Linked DNA regions of Macaca mulatta. The protein of the gene in region 3 purifies or fractionates together with the protein of the main gene of each other region. This does not show direct contact. Links are inferred from orthologs where the notes say so. Each region holds a gene or a part of one and is shown on either strand. Other genes may lie near its edges.

Region 1 (3,652 bases), on a different chromosome or scaffold from region 3:
GCTGGTCTTGAACTCCAGGGCTCAAGTGATCCACCTGGCTGGGCCTCCCAAAGTGCTGAAGATTACAGGCATGAGCCACTATGCTTAGCCTGAAAAGCATTTTCTTAACCCATGTTCAACACAAGGGCAAAGGCATCAGATTAATACAAAAAAAAGTTTGTTCATCAATTAGTGACATTAATAAATGGAGTTAACTGTATAAGTCACAATATTTTTCTAAAGTGAAAATACTCATATTGGATAAAGCCACCTACCCAAGGACTGAGCACTAGCTCACAGTCACTCAATCAATACAGGTATTTCTTTAAAGAACAGGTAAGGTACAAAAATAGCCATTAAAATTTAGGACACACCAACAGTGGTGACTCACACCTATAATCCTAGTACTTTAGGATGCTGAAGTGGGAGAATTGTTTGAGCCCAAGAGTTTGAGACCAGTCTGGGCAACACAGTGAGGCACTGTTTCTACAAAAAAAATTTAAAAATTAGCTGGGCATGGTGGCATGTTCCTGTAGTCCCAGCTACAGGTAGGAGGCTGAGAGGCAGGAGGATTGCTTGAGCCCAGGAGGTTGAGGCTGCAGTGAGCCACGACTGTGTCACTGCACTCCGGCCTGGGCAACAGAGCATGACCATTCCCTGTGCCCCCACCCCCACCCAAAATTAGGACACGGTGATTTATCATTAACACACACTCACAAAAGTAATGGTAAACTCCTAGCTAATAGAAACAAAATGTTAGGACATGTGTTGCTGGATAAACAGGTTTTGCTGTACATAAAAACATACATTTTCAACATAATGGCAACATATTAACGTGAGAAAGTCTCCACCTTTCTTAGTCCATGTCCACTTCCATCTGGATAGAGCTAGTGGCTACCAGTGGGTACCAGCTTACTGTCTCTCAGAGGACACTGTTCTTCAGCTGAACTAAGTTCTTACTAAAATGATCTGGTTTCATTTTCCCAAATAAAAGGTAAAAAGTAAATTAAGGTTAATTCTTTATTATCTCAGAAAAATCTCAGACTTAGAAAGGACCTTAAATCTTATCTTCTCCAATATATATTTTTATTCTAAAAAAGAGACAGAAAAATCTGATAACGTGAGTCTGGTTTACCTTTAGCCCTTGCCATGGCAGGCTGGTTCTATTAAAATACATCAAAACATATCCTAATGATTCCATGTCATCTCGGCGACTAGAAAAGAGAACGTAACTTTATAAACTGGAAATATTATTACGAAAAACATATGAAAGAAAGCCAAGTACCCAGGAGAAATGTTCCCAAATGAGGAGGGAACACTATTTGGTGTCTTACGCAAGAAGCTACTTATTTAAGGTGATTTTAAAAAGTTTGTGTGCTACCTACCTCTAAACAAAACTTTTCCCACAGAATCCAAAATAAGACAAACAACTATCTTACAATTTAATTTTAAAAGAAGAAAAAGGATTTGGCTAAACAACCCTCTAAATGAGCTTAATGAACCAAGCAGGATGACATTCCTATGTTTTGCAGAAACTCATTTTAAAAACTTCAGGAGCACTGAAAAGGAGTTACGACTTAAACTAATTGAACATCTATATGAATGTATTCATGCATACATATCTATATATACATACATACAAATATATATTTAGAGATATATATATTTAAGGGTAGGTGTAGGTAATGCCTTGGCGTACGGAAAAAGTGACATTACAGTTTAACCTAGAGTATTAAGATATTCATGGATATTTCTTAAGCCTGAAATTCTTGGTATGAGGTTGTTTAACCTGGAGTCATATCATTGCTTTTTCCCACTAATTACTTCTATGCTTGTTTTAAGGAGCGAAAAGTGACTGTAAAAGACGAAAGGAACTTGAAACTCTAGAACTCATGTGAAGAAACAGGAAGAGAGCAGAGACTGTGACACTTTTTTACTTTAAACTAGATCATACTAATTTACATATTTGAGTGAAGTATAACAGGAGATGGTCCATCAACCCACTTTTGGTTTATTAGGATACTGATAACATTTTCCTTTCAAAAATAAATAATGCATTCTTCCCAAACTCAACGTGAATTACTAAAGTATAAAAAGTCCCGAATAGCTTCAAAAATATACGTACTATCTTCAGCTGCAAAAAGAAACGTCAACATTGCACTTATGCTTCTAACTTTATATCACACAGTATTTTCCCCCCAAGAGACAACCTTCAACAACAACAACAAATTCAAAAGATCTCATTTAACGGTCTTCTCTACACTGTCTAAAACAGCAGGTAAAATGATTAATAAGCATCCTTCAAAGTCTCAGCCAAGAAACATCCTCAGACATTGTAAGAAACTGAAATATTTCAAAAACCCATTGATGGCTTCTGCTGTGGCTACGATAAGCACATTCCATTTTCAAACTTACCTCTGCTCAATACCAAGATGTGCATTGATGCTAGCATATCGGGCAGTGCCAGTGAGGTTTTTATCTTCTCTGTATGGTATGTGTTGCCTTGTCCTGTTGTCTCTGTACTTTTTGGCCAAACCAAAATCAATAAGGAATAACTTTAAAAGAGAAATACAGAAACATTAGGTTTCCAACCTTGTTCAATTAAACTGCTTCTTATTCATTAAACGGTATCTACTCTACGCATTCGAATATATCAAAATAAAGTATCCTAAGTATTAATAGAGCAGATAATGAACAGACTTAACACCCCACCCCCATAAGTTTTTACTAGTCTTCATCAATAAATCAAGTTAAAAAAAAAAAGTCTAGTAGTTTATCCTTGTCATCTGCAGATTTTGCAGGCCCATTTCATTACATACTCAGGAGCCTGTCTTTATAAAGAAAGAAACATATACATGCCTGACAGCAGAAGCAACAAGTGTGCTATCTGTCATAACACCTGATCGTCTATACACCTGTTACTACTGGTAAACAAACATGAGATTTCAAAATCTAGATATAATGGCCGAGTGCGGTAGCTCACGCCTATAATCCCAGCACATTGGGTGGCTGAGGCAGGCGGATAACTTGAGGTCAGGAGTTTGAGACCAGCCTGGCCAAACATGGCAAAGTCCCATCTCTACAAAAAATACAAAAATAGCCAGGCGTGGTGGCACATGCCTGTAGTCCCAGCTACGCAAGACGCTGAGGCAGGAGAATTGCTTGAACCCGGGAGGCAGAGGTTGCAGTGAGCCAAGACCACGTCACTGCACTCCAGCCTGATCACAGAGCAAAACTGTCTTAAAAAAAAAAAAAAAAAAAAATCCAGATATAAGCTATCTGAACTCTTCCCTCCTACAAAGGCCACTCTTAAATGTGCCAACAGAATGCTTGTTATCTACTCTAAAAGTCTGACATTGCCAATGAAAACAAGACTTTTCATTAATAAAAACTACTACTTAGCACTGACACTATACACGTGGGTCAGGTTAAACTTCTAGAAAATTTGACAAGTTGATATAAAAATCCCCCCAAAAAGCACTTAGCATTTAAATCAAGGTGGCTTACAATTAGCAGTTTAAGTGAGTTAACTAAAAACAAAACTAGTGTTTAGAACAAAATAACGTTTAATGTTATCATGTCTATATGGTACTCAGGGAATAAGGTATTCATTTATAACGTAGCTAATTGTATGTAATTCAAGTTTACGCTCCAGAACTTAGGCCTTTTAAAA
Region 2 (4,266 bases), on a different chromosome or scaffold from region 3:
TTCCGAGAAATAGTGACTTGAACTAAATACTAAACTACTACCAAGCCCCACGTGCATTTTTGGAAGTTTTTAGTCATTGGGAGCCATGGCATTTCTTTTCTCTGTATTACAAACTGTTACACTCACTTTCTTTGACTATTAACATTGGAACAGTAGACCTCCTGTTCTGTGACTGACTGGCAGGCAGAAATGACACGGACAGGAAATGGGAAATGGTTCAGGGTCTTGGAATTCCCCCGGCTGCCTAATTAAGTGGTTCGCTATTTGGAAGTTTTTAAAATATTTGCCCCTTGGAGTTCCCCAGAGAGAAGCAAGCATTGGATTCAATGGGCAAAGAGCGTCAACTTCAAAAGTCATTCGTTGGCTGTCATAGCACAAACATTTACTGCATGCCACTGTGTCTATGGCACTACTGGGGGAGTATGGCGGAGGGATACAAAAGGTCCATCACTAGTAAAAGCCAAGGGTGTTTGTTTACAAATTTTCTATTACCTAAGCATTAAAAAAAAAAACAACCTTGGGCTTCTCTGTGGTTTATGTACAATTATATGTGCATGTACACCAATACACAGGCGGACGTATATATTTCATTTTATTGAAACATTCAGAAAATACTGGGAGTGAAGCCTGACTTGCAATACCGTTCCCGTTGCTGGCAATGAGCATCTGAAATAATGACACTTTTGTCTTTAGTGCATATGCACTGTTTGTCTCCAGAACAGAAAACCAAAAGTTTAAAAACAAGATAACCTAGTTGATTGTAAAACTCATCGAGTCAAAATTATTCATCAGATGCTTCCTACTTTCCAACGCTTCGCTTTTTTCGATTTGCACAAACAGCTGTTGAACGCTGATGCTACACAAACGGTTACAACTGTTTACTTGAGCAAAAAATGCCATCAGACTGACTCCATCCTCAAAATGCAGTCATCTCGACGGGGGAGGCATCACACTAGGGGAGCCTTGCCAGGGGCCAGATCATAACCCTGAGGTGACACAGGGTAGACGCGCAAAACCACCGGCGCCAGGGCGTTTCCGCAGGGTTTCCCAAGAGTCAAACGCAGCGGCTCACGGTTTGCCACGTCCCCCAGGAGAATGGTAGGCACAGAGAGAGAGGAAACGTGGAGGGGGCACAAACTGCAAGGTGAAGAAAACGAACAAACACCGAGTTGATACGGATAGTCCCCGTTCCCCTAAGGGCCGACCCCGCGACTCCCGATGGGCGTCCAGTTGCGCCGGGGGTCCCTGAGCCTCCCAGCGTCTTTCCCGGCGGTTAGTCGCCCCACGGCCGCAAGTGCGCTCGGTTTCGCTTTCCGGCCCCAGCCTCCCGGGCGCCCTCGCGCGGCTGCCAACGCGAGTCTCCGGCCGGGCGCGCTGACGTCATCGTGCGTCGGCGTGAGCCCGGATGGGGCGGCGGGCTTCGGGAGCGCCGGAGCTGACCCGAGCCGAGGCGGCCGTGTCTCCTTGTCGGTACCGCCGCTTCCCGGCTCTGGGGAGGCCTCTAGGCTGCCGCGCAGCTTCCTTGTTTGCTGCGCCCGCACTGCGGTGAGTGCTGCTCCTTCCGGACTCGGGCGGCGCGGGGAGGGTGGGGACGCGCGGGCCCGCGGGGGCCCACTTCCCTGATGTGGCGGCCGGGCGAGGAAGGAAGGGGCCAGAGGCCCTTCGGCCAAGGGTCGAGGGTCGCCGGGGGCTCTCTGCTTTCTACTCTCGCCAAGGTTTTATTGGATTCGGAAGCCCAAACTTCAAGACTTGCAGTCAAAGCCGTTTTTAAAATATGACTTGTTTTCAAACCTCCTCTGGCCGCCGCCCACTCTTCTGGCCCTTGGACTTTGACCAAGATGTTTTCTCGCAGTTTTTGCAAGGTTTTAAACAGCCCTCGGCGTTCTTTTAATGTAATACATTGAAACGAAGATATTTCGGTGGCGGTGATATTTCATATTTCATAGTTGCCACTGCGCTCTGTCATTCCAGTAGTCTGTTGTGTATTGTGAGAAACAACTCTGGGTAATTATTGGGTAAATCCCATAGTTTCTATTCTTTTCTCTTCCATCCTATCCCCTGTCCAGCTGCAGTTTGCATAAAGAGAATGCTGCAGTACGGTGCTCGCAGATAAAAGTCTTTCGTTTAAAGATAGTATATAAAAAATCGCGTGTAATTAAAGCAATCATGCCAGTGGGCGTCAGGCCACTGTTTCACAGGCCGCTGTGTTAGGTTTTGTTTTCGGTTGTTTTCTACCGTCGTTGCTTTGAAATTGTAAGGGATTGGCAGAGTTTAAGGGTTTATATTAATGAACTCGTGGTACATTTTACTGCAGTTTTCCTAGTCGCGGAGAGACTTGATATTACAAACTAACGTTGCTGTCTGATTACTGCTGTACTGCTGTTGACAGGGTTTAGTGGAGTACCTTGTCGCTCTCTCTGCCTTTTTCACCAATGTTCCTTTGCCTCCAGCAGAGTGCCAAAGATACCTTTAGGTCAGAAAAGGGGAGGAGAGCAAGGACAAAATGTTTTCCTGTGTGAAAATTTCCATCTGTCTCTAAAGTTGTGCTTTTTAAAGACACGTATAGTTAGTGCTATGGGAGTATGTTGCATTTATTTATTTTAATTAAGAGCTTTTTCAGTTAGAAAGTTGTGACAAATTGCTGGAAATTAAGATGTGTTATCTAAAATGTAAATTATTCTTAGACTTTAGTGAATAAATTGAAGAGTATGTAAGTTCTATTTGGCATGCAAATACGGTTTTCTAAAATACCTTTTGTTTTTTCTTTTCAGATTTACAGCCCTGAAGAATCCTCCTCTCCCTTTCCCCTTGCAGTAATAAATCCCATTTTGGAGATCTCGAAGCTTTATAAAGGGATATAGTTTGAATTCTATGGAGTGTAATTTTGTGTATGAATTATATTTTTAAAACATTGAAGAGTTTTCAGAAAGAAGGCTAGTAGAGTTGATTACTGATACGTTATGCTAAGCAGTACTTTTTTGGTAATACAGTATTTTGTTAGGCGTTTCTGATAACACTAGAAAGGACAAGTTGTGTCTTGTGACAAATTGATTAATGTTTACAGCATGACTGATAATTATAGCTGAATAGTCCTTAAATGATGAACAGGTTATTTAGTTTTTAAATGCAGTGTGAAAAGTGTGCTGTGGAAATTTTATGGCTAACTAATTAAGTTTATGGAGAAAATACCTTCAGTTGATCAAGAATAATAAAGTGGTATACAAAGTTAGGAAGAAAGTCAACATGCTGCAGGAAATAGAAACAAATACAAATGATATTTAACAAAGATAGAAGAGTTTATAGTTTGTGAACTTTAAGCCAAATTCATTTGACATCAAACACTATAACAGGCACAGGTTCAACAAAGCTTGTGGGTGTTGACTTCCCCAAAAGTTGTCAGCTGAAGTAATATAGCCCGCTTATGTAAATACTATGGTGATAAGCTGTGTGAACTTAGCCTTTAAATAGTGTGACCATATGAAGATTTTAATTACTTTTGTTTATTGGAATAAAATGAGATTTTTTGGGGACATTATATTAAAGTGCTTATAGGGAAAGAAGCCTGCATGTAATTTTTTACCTTGTGGCATAATCAGTAATTGATCTGTTACCCAGGCTTCATAGCTTGTAACCAAATATAAATAAAAGGAGTAATTTAGGTATTCTGTAGTTGCTTAGAATTTTGAGAATATAAATCTCTGTGAAAAATCAAGGAGTTTCAACATTTTCAAAAGGGCATCCACCTCTCAGGGCTTTAGGTTAGTATTACTCAAGATTATGAACAAATAGCACTTAGATTACTTAAAAGAGTTACTACAACCCCAAAGACTTGTGTTCCAAGTAGTATCTTGGTAATTCAGAGAGAGACTCATCCTACCTGAATATAAACTGAGATAAATCCAGTAAAGAAAGTGTAGTGAATTCTACGTAAGAGTCTATCATTGATTTCTTTTTGTGGTAAAAATCTTATTTTGTGTGAAGAAATTTCATGTGACTGTTTTAGCTATCAAACAGTACTGTCACCTACTCATGCACAAAACTGCCTCCCAAAGACTTTTCCCAGGTCCCTCGTATCAAAACATTAAGAGTATAATGGAAGATAGCACGATCTTGTCAGATTGGACAAACAGCAACAAACAAAAAATGAAGTATGACTTTTCCTGTGAACTCTACAGAATGTCTACATATTCAACTTTCCCCACCGGCGTTCCTGTCTCAGAAAGGAGTCTTGCTCGTGCTGGTTTTTATTATACTGGTGTGAATGAC
Region 3 (3,494 bases):
GGCGATAGGGCAAGACTCTGTCTCAAAAAAAAAAAAAAAAAAAAGAGAGAGAAAAATACCTCATCAAATTACATCTAATAACTGAGGTTTAGGCCAAGATATTTGTCTTTAAGAATGAAAATGATTAAACCAAGAATGTGAAAATCCTAACAAAGTAGTATAATTAGTAATGTTAATTAGAAATGAATGTTGGCAAACTGAGATCTGAGGTGGCTCATACTCCATCAAGTGTTCCTCCGGTCTCAAAAAAAAGGCTGTTTAAGTGCCTATAAGACAATGGAGTGGAAAAGAGATTTTTTATTTTTATTTTTCTATATTGGCAGTTTTCCCATCAGTGATTGGTTTTATTACTGAACAGGAACAGCTTAATGCTGAAAATTTGCTGCTGAATGACTGGCAAAGACTATTAGACTGAAAATTTCAAGCACAAATGCACTGAGGAAAAAATGTTCTTCCCAGTAAGAGTCTATTCTCAAATAGAGATATATTCCCTATTAAAATCAGTCTTAAAATAGAAAATATTTTAAAAAATAGTGAAAGACCTTAAAAAGGAAAAAAAGAAATTACTAAAAAGTACATGATCAACATGATTTACAATTAGCTATCTTAAAAGCATGCTTTTTTAATTCTAAAAATCCTATTTACAAAGTATGCTTACATCGCATTTTAAAAGACATGTATCAAATGTAAACAAATCATTACAGCCATTTTATAAAAAGATTCATATTTTTTAAAACATTTTTTGTCATCATTAAAAATTAAAAGGCAATAAAGTGTCATTGTCGTGAAACAGTACGTGATCTTAAGGGAAGAAACATCTCACTAGAGTTTCCACAAGTTCCTTCTTCTTCTAACTGCAGGTCTGGCGGCAAAGGAGGAGCCCCTGGGTCCCCAGGTCTGGGAAGTGTAGTTGAAGAGAAGATGGTATTTTCAGTTCTGCCTACTTCTAGAACAGGCAAATTCAGCGAAGAATTAGTGGAAAAAAAGGGCGTCGTGCTGGATTCTCCTTCTGGATGGTACATGACAGTGGATGCCCTCAGTTTTTCAGAGAAATTACTCTCATTTGAATTTGATCTGGAGAGGTTGTTCGTGGCTCCATCTGGAAAAGGTTCACAGCTGCTACATTTTAGTCCTACAATAAAATTATTCATATGTAAATGAAAAAGTAACTAAAAAAAATGGAGTCACTGTCCATCTTGTGACTTGTTAAAGATTACAAGCTAGTTACCCCACAATCAAAATTTAAATAGCAATTTATAATTTCTGTCATAATCTATTTCAAATCTAATTTGCTTTTCTCAACAACTATGAAGTATACTATTATTTGCATTTTCTAGATAAGAAAATAGTCTCATGGAAGTTAAACGACATGTTATAATTCTTATTTAAGGTACAGTGTACATATAAACTTAACCATCTAAAATTTTTTATAAAATAAGAAATAGCTTTCACAATAAATATTCTTTAGTATTCTGGTACAAAAAATATTAGCCAATAAAAACAAAATGTAAACAGGGCAGATGCTAAAATTCTATCTGTTGATCAATGGCAATGGCTAGTTCTTGAATAATAGGATATTAGAACTAAAAGGAATTTCAGAGGTCACCTAGGATAGTCTCTTATTATTAAAAATGAGAAAAAAGGGCGGAGCATGGTGGCTCACAGTTGTAATCCCAGCACTTTGGGAGGCCGAGGTGGGCGGAACATGAGGTCAGGAGTTCGAGATCAGCCTGGCCAACACGGCGAAACCCCGTCTCTACTAAAAATACAAAAATTAGCCAGGCGTGTTGGCAGGTGCCTGTAATCCCAGCTACTCTGGAGGCTGAAACAGGAGAATCGCTTGAACCTGGGAGGTGGAGGTTGCAGTGAGCCTAGATCGTGCCATTGCACTCCAGCCTGGGCAACAAGAGCAAGACGGTCTTTAAAAAAAAAATAGAAAAAAAAAAGGCACAGGACAGTCAAGTCATGTCCAACATTCCAGGACTACTTTGTGGGAAATTGAGAACTACAATTCAATAGATAATGTCCTGTTTCTCAACCTCATAGTTTACTCAAATGACAGTGGTTGTTCCCAACAGCTATGGTATGAATGTATCTGCCAAAATTTCACATGTTGGAAACTTGGTTGCCACTGCAGCAGTGTTAGGAGCTGAGGCCTTTGGGAGGCAACAGGGTCATGAGGGCTCTGCCCTGGACTAATGCCATTATCATGGGAATGGGTTACTTATTTTGGGAGTTCGACTCCTTTTTCTTCCCTTTCACACTCTTGCCCTCCCTCACTCTTCCATCTTCTGCCCTTCCACCATGGATGACCCTTGCCAGATGCTGGCACCATGGACTTGGACTTAACCAGCCTCCAGAACTGTAAAAAATGAATACATTTCTTTTCTTTATGAGTTACCCAGTCTCAGGTATTGCTACAGCAGAAAACAACTTAGATACCATCAAAGAATTTTATCACATCCAAGGGGTGTAGTTAACCATTATCCACAGGATTGAAAGAATAAACACAAATACAATTTACCCTTCTGTTAGGCTTAGCAAATATTCAACCTACAGGCACAGAAACCCTGAGTTGACAATTTTTAGGTAAAACCTGCATAGTCTATAAAGGACACTTACATGTCACTTCTTCCACTAGTTTTTCAACCTTACAGTCAGCATGTCTATTCCATGCTATAGAAACTACTTTCTTAGATATGGCTCAAAAGGGAAAACTTGTAATGTGTCCCAGCAAGGGGACACTTACAGACTATGAGTTCCTTAAGGGCAGAACCCTAAATTATTCTTTTCTGTATCCCTAATGCCTAGAACAGCTGTAGAACGTCACATGCACATTTATGTGTTCTGGAGAGAGAGAGAGAGACAGCAAGGAACAGAGAAAGGAGGGGGTTGGGGATTTAAATTGTGTAGGCAATTCCACACAATATTCCAATCAATGAGTGTATATTCTGGAGTGAGAGTCAAATGGGACAGGTGAATTTGCTATTCTCTTAATGTTTCCATGCTTTCACATCCTGCCAGACTAGTTTCAAGTCACGAATATTTTATGCAACGTGATTCCTATAAACAAGTGCCAATTATTTCATCTTGTGATCGATCAACTGGTGATCACAAGAAAAACTAGCAGAGTTGGACTTTTAAAATACTTTGCCTAAATACTGTTCTTTATGTGCGATGTACAGTATTTTCAGAGGTTACTCTTGAATAATTTTATATTCTGCTGACTTTAGAAACAAATCCTTATGTATACAGGGATTTCATAATAGTTACGTTTTCCATAAATGGTATTAAACGAATAGAAATGCAGTATATTGACAGATATTCCACTTTTTCAATGTAGTAAGGTCATATAAGGTAAAATAAATGCAAATTGAATATAATTTTGAAGTTTAAACTCTTTGAAAGCCAAATGATCATTTCTGTTTTTTTTTGTTTTGCTTTTTTGAGACAGGGTCTTGCTCTGTTGCCCAGACTGGAGTGTAGTAGCACAA

Evidence for each region.
Region 1: the proteins of BCL10 (region 3) and CSNK1A1 purify together in Homo sapiens (affinity purification with western blotting; 4 studies listed by BioGRID and IntAct, with this or other methods). This does not show direct contact. The link is inferred for Macaca mulatta from reciprocal best matches to the Homo sapiens genes BCL10 and CSNK1A1.
Region 2: the proteins of BCL10 (region 3) and BIRC2 purify together in Homo sapiens (affinity purification with western blotting; 3 studies listed by BioGRID and IntAct, with this or other methods). This does not show direct contact. The link is inferred for Macaca mulatta from reciprocal best matches to the Homo sapiens genes BCL10 and BIRC2.

The regions. Positions count from the first base shown.
Region 1 is NC_133411.1:158,473,998-158,477,649, forward strand, and holds part of CSNK1A1 (casein kinase I), read right to left. Parts: intron 2,535-3,652; coding exon 2,395-2,534; intron 1,194-2,394; coding exon 1,115-1,193; intron 1-1,114.
Region 2 is NC_133419.1:103,217,227-103,221,492, forward strand, and holds the start of BIRC2 (baculoviral IAP repeat-containing protein 2), read left to right. Parts: upstream 1-1,399; 5' UTR 1,400-1,545; intron 1,546-1,562; exon of another isoform or gene 1,563-2,004; intron 2,005-2,771; 5' UTR 2,772-4,029; coding exon 4,030-4,266. UniProt on the Homo sapiens protein: Multi-functional protein which regulates not only caspases and apoptosis, but also modulates inflammatory signaling and immunity, mitogenic kinase signaling, and cell proliferation, as well as cell invasion and metastasis.
Region 3 is NC_133406.1:155,296,031-155,299,524, reverse strand, and holds the end of BCL10 (B-cell lymphoma/leukemia 10), read right to left. Parts: intron 1,133-3,494; coding exon 777-1,132; 3' UTR 621-776; downstream 1-620. UniProt on the Homo sapiens protein: Plays a key role in both adaptive and innate immune signaling by bridging CARD domain-containing proteins to immune activation.